Pelodiscus sinensis: one gene and its partner. The protein of the gene in region 1 binds, or shares a complex with, the protein of each later gene. Links are inferred from orthologs where the notes say so. Each region holds a gene or a part of one and is shown on either strand. Other genes may lie near its edges.

Region 1 (3,739 bases):
CTCCAACCTGAGACGCTGCTTATTTAACTGGTTAAACATTAAGTTAACCAGTTAAACATTAGGTTAACTGATTAATGCTGATTATACATCCCTCGCATGCATGCAATTAACTGTTCTTTCCTAAGTGGAGTACTTTATATTTATCCATATTGAATTACATACTATTTACTTCAGACTATTCCTCCAGTTTATCTAGATCATTTTGAATTTTAATCCTATCTTCCAAAGCACTGGCAATGCCCCCCAGATTGGTATGGCCTACAAATTTCCAGTTTTCCAGTCAACTACGCACCCACTTTGTAGTAGCGCTATCCAAATTGTAATTCTCTAGTTTATGAAAATGTCATGTGAAATATATCAAAAGTCCGACTGAAGTCAAGATACACCACATCTACTGCTTATCCTCAATCCACAAGGATTGTTACACTCTCAGAAGAAACTAGTAGTTTAATTTGACTCTGTATGTTCTTGACAAATACATTCTGCTACTGGTGCTCCCTGTAAACTGGAAGCTTGTGCGGGCGCAACTGATTAGCAGAAAGCCCATTGCTAGGTTTGTGTTTCTTACTTCCTTGATGCACATAAAAATGATTCCATACATGAATTAGGGATGTTAAGGACTAGTCGACGATCCGATAAGCAAATGCTTATCGGATCATCGACTAGTCGCTTCCCCCTTCCCTTGCTGCCTCTATCAAATCCTTTCGTTTCTACTACACCGAGTTGCTTCTGGGGTCATGGAGTCAGAGCTGCCTTGCTCACTCTGGGTGTACAAGTCTTCCTCAGGCATCCAATTCAAGTGGACTCACTGGAGGGGAGCTCAAAGGTTCAGCAGGATTGCTGACTGCTCTGAGGTCTAGTTCCAAGAGGCAGCAAAGTCAAGGGGCTTACACCAGTGAGTATGTGAGGTCCTAAAGGGACCTAAAAGGGCCCAGAGCAGTAAAGAGCATCGAGCCCATGGATCTGTGACACCCCCAACAAAGACCCCTGAATTCCCTACTTTCTGCAGAACATCCAGTCTCAGTGATGATTTCATTCCTTCCATGTGCACCCTCAGCCCTAGCCTTACATCCAAATACCAACAAACCCCTTGCACAGACTCTGCAGCCATTCTCTCCATCCCTCCCAAAAGACGCCTTTTTTCCAGGCATCCTCAGCCCTTTTAGATCCTGCACTTGGCACGTCTTCACCAGATAAAGCTTCCTTTATACATATCCTCACCCTCCCTTCCCGTGTCCTAGCACTCAACCCAACTGCCTACCTCCCAGACCTTCTTTCCACACATTCAGCAACACCTTCCACTACCTTGTTCCCATCCCAATCTTTGTCAGACAATTTCCAACCCCCAAGAGGTACCACTCATCACTACAGGTACTCCCAGCATTCCCAGACACACCAGCTATATACCACCAATCCCTCTCTTATCACCAGAAGTCCTAACTCATCACACCTGCCCAACAACCTGAGCACTATCCTTTACCAAAAAAAAAAAAAAAAACCCCACACACCCTAGTTTCAGGCTTCCACTCTACTTTTCCTTTCCCCACAATGTAGCCCAGCAGATAGAGCAGTGAACTAAACTCAAAAAGACTTGGGTTCTATTCCCAGCTCCAGCAGCTGACCTCAGCTTCCCAATCGCTAAAATGGACAATACTAACTCACCTTTACACCTCTTGAGAGCTACTAACGAGCAGAGTTAAGTAATGATTACTACCAGCACTAGCTAACAACTTCCCCAGGCCCATATCCCCAGCCCCACCTCCTAGAGATCTCCCCTCCCTATGGGTAAGGCCAGACCTCCCACTAGGAACCATCCTTGCAGAAGCCCCCCCCCCGAACACTCCAATCCCTTCCTCGGGCATCCTCAGCCAACCTCCCTCCCCCCTCTTCTCCCCAATTCATCCCACCCTAAATCACACCAGGATATACCCAGCCCTTCCCCGCGCTCCTCTCCGCCCCCCCCGGCCGCGCCCTCGCAGACACATGCCCAGCTACCGCCCGCCCTCCCCAGAGGCCCCTGAGCGCTCCCCGAACTGCTCCTTCCCCCACGCCTCAGGTTCCCCCACTGGCCCGTTCCCGCCCTCAGCCGCCTTCATCCTGCCCGAGGCCCGCGTCCGACACCGCAGCGACCCACCAGCTCCGCTCGCTGCTGCAGCGCCTCAAACACCGCCGCTCCCGCCCAACCGGCCACCCACTGCGCCTGCGCAAACACCACTTCCGCTTCCAGGCCACGCCAGCACGCGCTCCTCTTCGCGCCCCATATAACCATAGAGAGTAGGCGGCGCTCTATAATGCTCTAGTCCCAGCCAGGAGCGATCCACATCTGCTCTATGATTCCCAACGGCTCTGGGCCGCTCCAGCCACCTTTGGATGATAGAGTTCAGCATCTACACTCTAGGCAACTGAAAACTCTGTGATACCAACTCATCCTCCCGGTCACAGTAACCGACGGCGCGAGGCAGCCTCTGACGCTGCCTGTGGTCCGCGACAACCCCTCCATCCCATAATAATAGCCCTGCCCGCGGGGCTGCCTCGGGAGCCCAAGGAGAGCATCAGGGGACATCATGGTGGGGGGAGGGGCTCCCGGAAGTGAGACAGGAAGCGCCCGGAACACCCGGAAGTTTACGCTGAAAGGTTTGGGGGAGGTTCAGGACTTGGAGCCGGAAGCGGGTGACTCCGTCCCATGTGCAGAGAGGTAGGGACGGGAGGCGGCAGCCCCTCACCCCCCCCCCCCCAGTCCAGCCCCTAGGAGCAGCGGCAGTTTTCTCCCCCGGCCAATGAGCGGAACAGGGAACTCCCGGGGGCGTGCAGGGCAAGGCGCTCCCTGCCCCCAGCACGGCGACATGGACTAGCCCGAGAGGGGATCTGGCCGTCACAGCTGGGCGGGGAGGTGGAGAATCCAATGGGATTAATCCCACCCTGGGGGAGCGGAGCCCGACCCCTGGGTTCCATTGTAGCTCTGGGAGAGGCCTGGGGGCTTGAAGCGTAGGGCAGGACTGCAGTGAGTCTCAGCACGGACTGGCATCTTCTTATATGAGGAAACTGAGTCACGGAGCTGACAGATTTACTCGACCCCAACACATCTGTCTCCAGTTGCAAGGAAGCCATAACAGGGTTAAGGCACAAAGTGACATTGGATCAATCTCTTTTTTTTGTTTCCATGATCTCCTATAGGATCTTTGTTTCATTCTGTGATGTAGATGAGATTTTACCTGGGAAGTTAATGCAGCCCTAAAGAATTAACTTTCTCATGCAAATCATCAGTAGAATTGCCTGAATGTTATTCTGTTATAATGTGTCTGTTCCTCAGTTTCACCTCCCACTGTTTGCCTGTGTGGTCCCTTCTCCTCTCCCTGCATCAGTTCCTTATTGACAATCCTTACCTCCTTGTGTTAAAACACTTTCAGATTCACAGCTAAAAAATTTTCAGTGGAATTCTTACTGTGGGAGACAATGTGTGGAGTTTGGCCTGAAAATTTCCAGCAGAATAGAGGAATCTTGAAGCTACCTCATTCCCTGGGTAAGGGAGTCTCAGTCCATTTCCACAAGCCATAAAATTGTCTTTGTTCCTAGAGTATCCAGTGCCAGTGAATGCCTCCAAGAGTGAATTCAGCGCTGGATCCTCAGCTGTCAGAGACGGACAGCCTCTCTTTATCCTCCACACAGGTACTGGTACTCCTGGCTTCCTCTGAGAGAAATCTATGCCCCCATTTTAAGTGGAGTAGATAAGACAAATGGG
Region 2 (3,739 bases), on another chromosome or scaffold:
TGGAGTCTAGTGGTTAGGGCGGGGGAGGGAGGGGCTGGGAGCCAGGACTCCTGGGCTCTGTCCCCAGCAATGGGAGGGGAGTGGAGTCTAGTGGTTAGGGCGGGGGAGGGAGGGGCTGGGAGCCAGGACTCCTGGGCTCCGTCCCCAGCAATGGGAGGGGAGTGGGGTCTAGTGGTTAGGGCGGGGGAGGGAGGGGCTGGGAGCCAGGACTCCTGGGCTCCATCCCCCCCGCAATGGGAGGGGAGTGGAGTCTAGTGGTTAGGGCGGGGGAGGGAGGGGCTGGGAGCCAGGACTCCTGGGCTCTGTCCCCAGCAATGGGAGGGGAGTGGGGTCTAGTGGTTAGGGCGGGGGGGGGACCAGGACACTCACCTGCTCAGTGACTGCGTGCCTCAGTTTCCCAGTGTGTGCAGGCGCCCCGCTCTCCCTGCAGGAGTGTCTCTCGCGGTGCCCTGGCGCTGTGTGAGCTGCGGGAGGGCAGGACACCTGTTTGGGGGGGCGGGGGGGCGGGGCGCTCGTGGGGAAATCGAAACTGGCCAAGGAGAAGTGATGAGTCACACGGGCTCGTATCTCCCGCGGCCTTCTGGGGGCGGTGAGCGCCCTGCCCCCCTCCGAGGGCCCAGGGGCCCTGCCCCCCCGAACCCAGGCGCCCTGCCCCCCCCGAGGGCCCAGGCGCCCTGCCCCCCCGAACCCAGGCGCCCTGCCCCCCCCCGAGGACCCAGGCGCCCTGCCCCCCCGAACCCAGGCGCCCTGCCCCCCCCGAGGGCCCAGGCGCCCTGCCCCACCGAACCCAGGCGCCCTGCCCCCCCCGAGGGCCCAGGCGCCCTGCCCCCCCGAACCCAGGCGCCCTGCCCCCCCCGAGGTCCCAGGCGCCCTGCCCCCCCCCGAGGGCCCAGGCGCCCTGCCCCCCCGAACCCAGGCGCCCTGCCCCCCCCGAGGGCCCAGGCGCCCTGCCCCCCCGAACCCAGGCGCCCTGCCCCCCCCGAGGTCCCAGGCGCCCTGCCCCCCCCCGAGGACCCAGGCACCCTGCCCCCCCTCCGAGGGCCCAGGCGCCCTGCCCCCCCGAACCCAGGCGCCCTGCTCCCCCCCGAGGACCCAGGCGCCCTGCCCCCCCCGAGGGCCCAGACGCCCTGCCCCCCCCGAACCCAGGCGCCCTGCTCCCCCCCGAGGACCCAGGCGCCCTGCTCCCCCCCGAGGACCCAGGCGCCCTGCCCCCCCCGAGGGCCCAGGCGCCCTGCCCCCCCCGAACCCAGGCGCCCTGCCCCCCCCCAGGACCCAGGCGCCCTGCCCCCCCCCCCAGAACCCAGGCGCCCGGGCTCAGCGGGGCGGGCGGGGAGTTCCCCAGCTGGGAGGGGGCGTTGCGAGGGGCGCGAGACCGTTGCCAGGGAGGGGGGGGGGAAGCTGGGCGGACACGCGGGCTAGGGCGTTGCTAGGGCGGGCCGAGCGAGCCGTTGCTAGGGCGGGCCGAGCGGAGCGGAGCGGGGCGGGGCGTTGCTAGGGCGGGCCGAGCAGAGCGGGGCGGGGCGTTGCTAGGGCGGGCCGAGCGGGGCGGGGCGTTGCTAGGGCGGGCCCAGCGGGGCGGGGCGAGCGGTTGCTAGGGCGGGCCGAGCGGGGCGGGGCGTTGCTAGGGCGGGCCCAGCGGGGCGGGGCGTTGCTCGGGGCGGCGCGCTGCGCCCTTGCCGGCCCCTCCCCCGCGTGTCACTTCCTGTCGCCGCTGGCGCCTCCTGGGCCCGCTCCGCGCCGGAAGCGCCCGCCCCGCCCCGCCCGCCATGGAGCGGTACCGGGACCTGTCGGACACCGAGCTCGTCGCCCGGCTGCAGCGCTACGGCATCGCGCACGGGCCCGTCGTGGGTACGGGGGGGAGGGGCGCTGGGGGGCCGCGAGGGAGGAGCTGGGGGGGGCCGCGGGGGGGGATCTGGGGGGGGCTGGGGGGCCGCGAGGGGGGATCTGGGGGGGGCGCTGGGGGGCCGTGGGGAGGCAAGAGAAGCAGGCTCTGGGGGGCAGCCAGCGGGGTGTGATGGGAACAGGCGGAGCAGGGATGGGGGGGGGGCAGAGACATTCTGTGAGCTGTGGGGGGCAGGGCACCGTGGGCCCACCTGACCCCCCCCCCCTTGTCTCCCGGCCCCCAGGATCGACCCGGAAGCTCTATGAGAAGAAGATCTATGAGTTCGAGAGCCAGCGCACCAAGCTGTCGCCCCTGGGGGGTCTGTGAGCTACTCGGGTGAGTGGGGGGCCAGGAGGGCTGGGGAGGAGCCAGCAGCGTAGCCGCTGACACCCTCCCCCCCCCCCCCTTTTCTGTGTGTCCAGAGCCCAGCACTACCAAGACCTACATCCAGGAATCCTACAGCTACCGCCCACCAGAGGAGCGGCACCGCTACGGGGACGACAGTGAGAGGGGCTGCGGGGTGGAGTGAGGGCCGTGGGCAGAGCTTGGGGGGTGGGCACCCTGGGTCGGGCAGGGCCGGAGGGGGGGGCTGGGCTGGCAGGGGCTGTGGGTGGCAAGTGAGGGGCGCCGGCAGAGCTCAGGCTGGGATGAGCAGCAGACTGTGGGTTGGGAGTGAGGGGCATGGCAGTTTTCCTGGACTTGGGGTACAAAGGTTGGGGCATCTGGGGGTTCCTTTCTCCCATGGGGGTGGGGGCTAAAGGTGCCCTCCCACTAATCCCTCCTGTGTGTCTCTGCCTCCAGATATCCAGCCCCACCAGGACGTACACGCGGGAGCTGTATGATTTTCCTCGCCGAGAGGGTCGCACCAGCTACCTTGGGGATGGTGAGGGGGGCAGGCATTTCCTCTGGTGCGGGTGCAAGGGGGGTACAGAGCAGGGAGGATGTGTGGGAACACAGAGGGGAGGGGAAGCTTTGTAACTTCTCAGGCCTGGGCCTGACACCCCATCCCCACCCCGTCCCCCAGGCCACATTGACATTCCTGCACCAGGGAGTTCCAGGGGTGGTGCTCTGGGGGGGTGGGGGGAGAAGAGCCACGCCCAGCCCCTATCTCACCCCACTCCTCCCCCCCAGATGTGGACAGCGAGTCTTACGAAGAATCTTCCTCCTCCTCCTCCTCGTGGTTCTACGGGTCAGGCCCAGGTCCCATGGGGGAAGCCACTGCCCGCCAGCCGGTAAGTCAGGCCTTATTTGGGGGCAGGGATCTGGGGCAGGGGGCAGCTCCAGTTCTCTCCCTACGCTCTCTGCCCCCCGCCCCAACCCAGACTCTCACACTGCCCCTCCGCTCCCTCCTACTTGGTCCTACCACATCTGACCCCCAATTCTGCCCCATCTCCAGCACCCTGGGGCAATCCTGCACTTGGCTGCTGGTCCAGCCTGGCAGGCTGTTGGCGGCTGGGTGATGGGAGGGGCTGGTGAAGCTGGAACTAAGTTGGGTGATGTTGTGTGGTGTAGAGTCAGTCCCTTGCTGGTTGCTCTGCATGGGCTGTGGGTGACCCCCGCTGGCGGCTGTCCGGAAGCATGACCCAGCAGCAGGTGCCTGGCCGCCCCAGGGCACCTTTGTAACAAAATGTCAACTTTGTAACTGTTAAAGCACCAGCTGTCAGCATGGCCTACCCAAGCAGAGCAAGTACCCTGAACCACAGCCCGAGAAGCGGTCCCCGCTGGCTGTTGCTGTCAGTAGCCCGCCTTTCTTTTTTTTGAGTTGAGTGTCTGCGGAAACCGAGCTTTGCTGGGCTCGATCGATAAGAATCGAATCCTTCCCGCTGGCTCTGCCGCTCCCGTCATGGCAAACGAAAA

What was found. The genes of interacting proteins can lie anywhere in the genome.
Region 2: the proteins of BANF1 (region 1) and EMD are in contact, whole or in part, in a crystal structure (PDB 7NDY), measured with the Homo sapiens proteins. The link is inferred for Pelodiscus sinensis from reciprocal best matches to the Homo sapiens genes BANF1 and EMD. Residues at the interface, in NP_001137457.1 of Homo sapiens: Arg37, Phe39, Gln48, Val51, Leu52, Lys53, Asp55, Leu58, Glu61, Trp62, Asp65; in NP_000108.1 of Homo sapiens: Pro22, His23, Gly24, Pro25, Val27, Ser29, Thr30, Arg32, Leu33, Tyr34, Lys36, Lys37, Glu40.

Annotation. Positions count from the first base shown.
Region 1 is NC_134721.1:33,019,016-33,022,754, forward strand, and holds the start of BANF1 (barrier-to-autointegration factor), read right to left. Parts: upstream 2,444-3,739; 5' UTR 2,429-2,443; coding exon 2,425-2,428; intron 2,280-2,424; exon of another isoform or gene 2,135-2,279; intron 1-2,134. UniProt on the Homo sapiens protein: Non-specific DNA-binding protein that plays key roles in mitotic nuclear reassembly, chromatin organization, DNA damage response, gene expression and intrinsic immunity against foreign DNA.
Region 2 is NW_027466045.1:56,792-60,530, reverse strand, and holds the start of EMD (emerin), read left to right. Parts: upstream 1-1,601; 5' UTR 1,602-1,766; coding exon 1,767-1,848; intron 1,849-2,126; coding exon 2,127-2,201; intron 2,202-2,247; coding exon 2,248-2,258; intron 2,259-2,306; coding exon 2,307-2,385; intron 2,386-2,534; coding exon 2,535-2,765; intron 2,766-3,013; coding exon 3,014-3,114; intron 3,115-3,739. UniProt on the Homo sapiens protein: Stabilizes and promotes the formation of a nuclear actin cortical network. Stimulates actin polymerization in vitro by binding and stabilizing the pointed end of growing filaments. Inhibits beta-catenin activity by preventing its accumulation in the nucleus.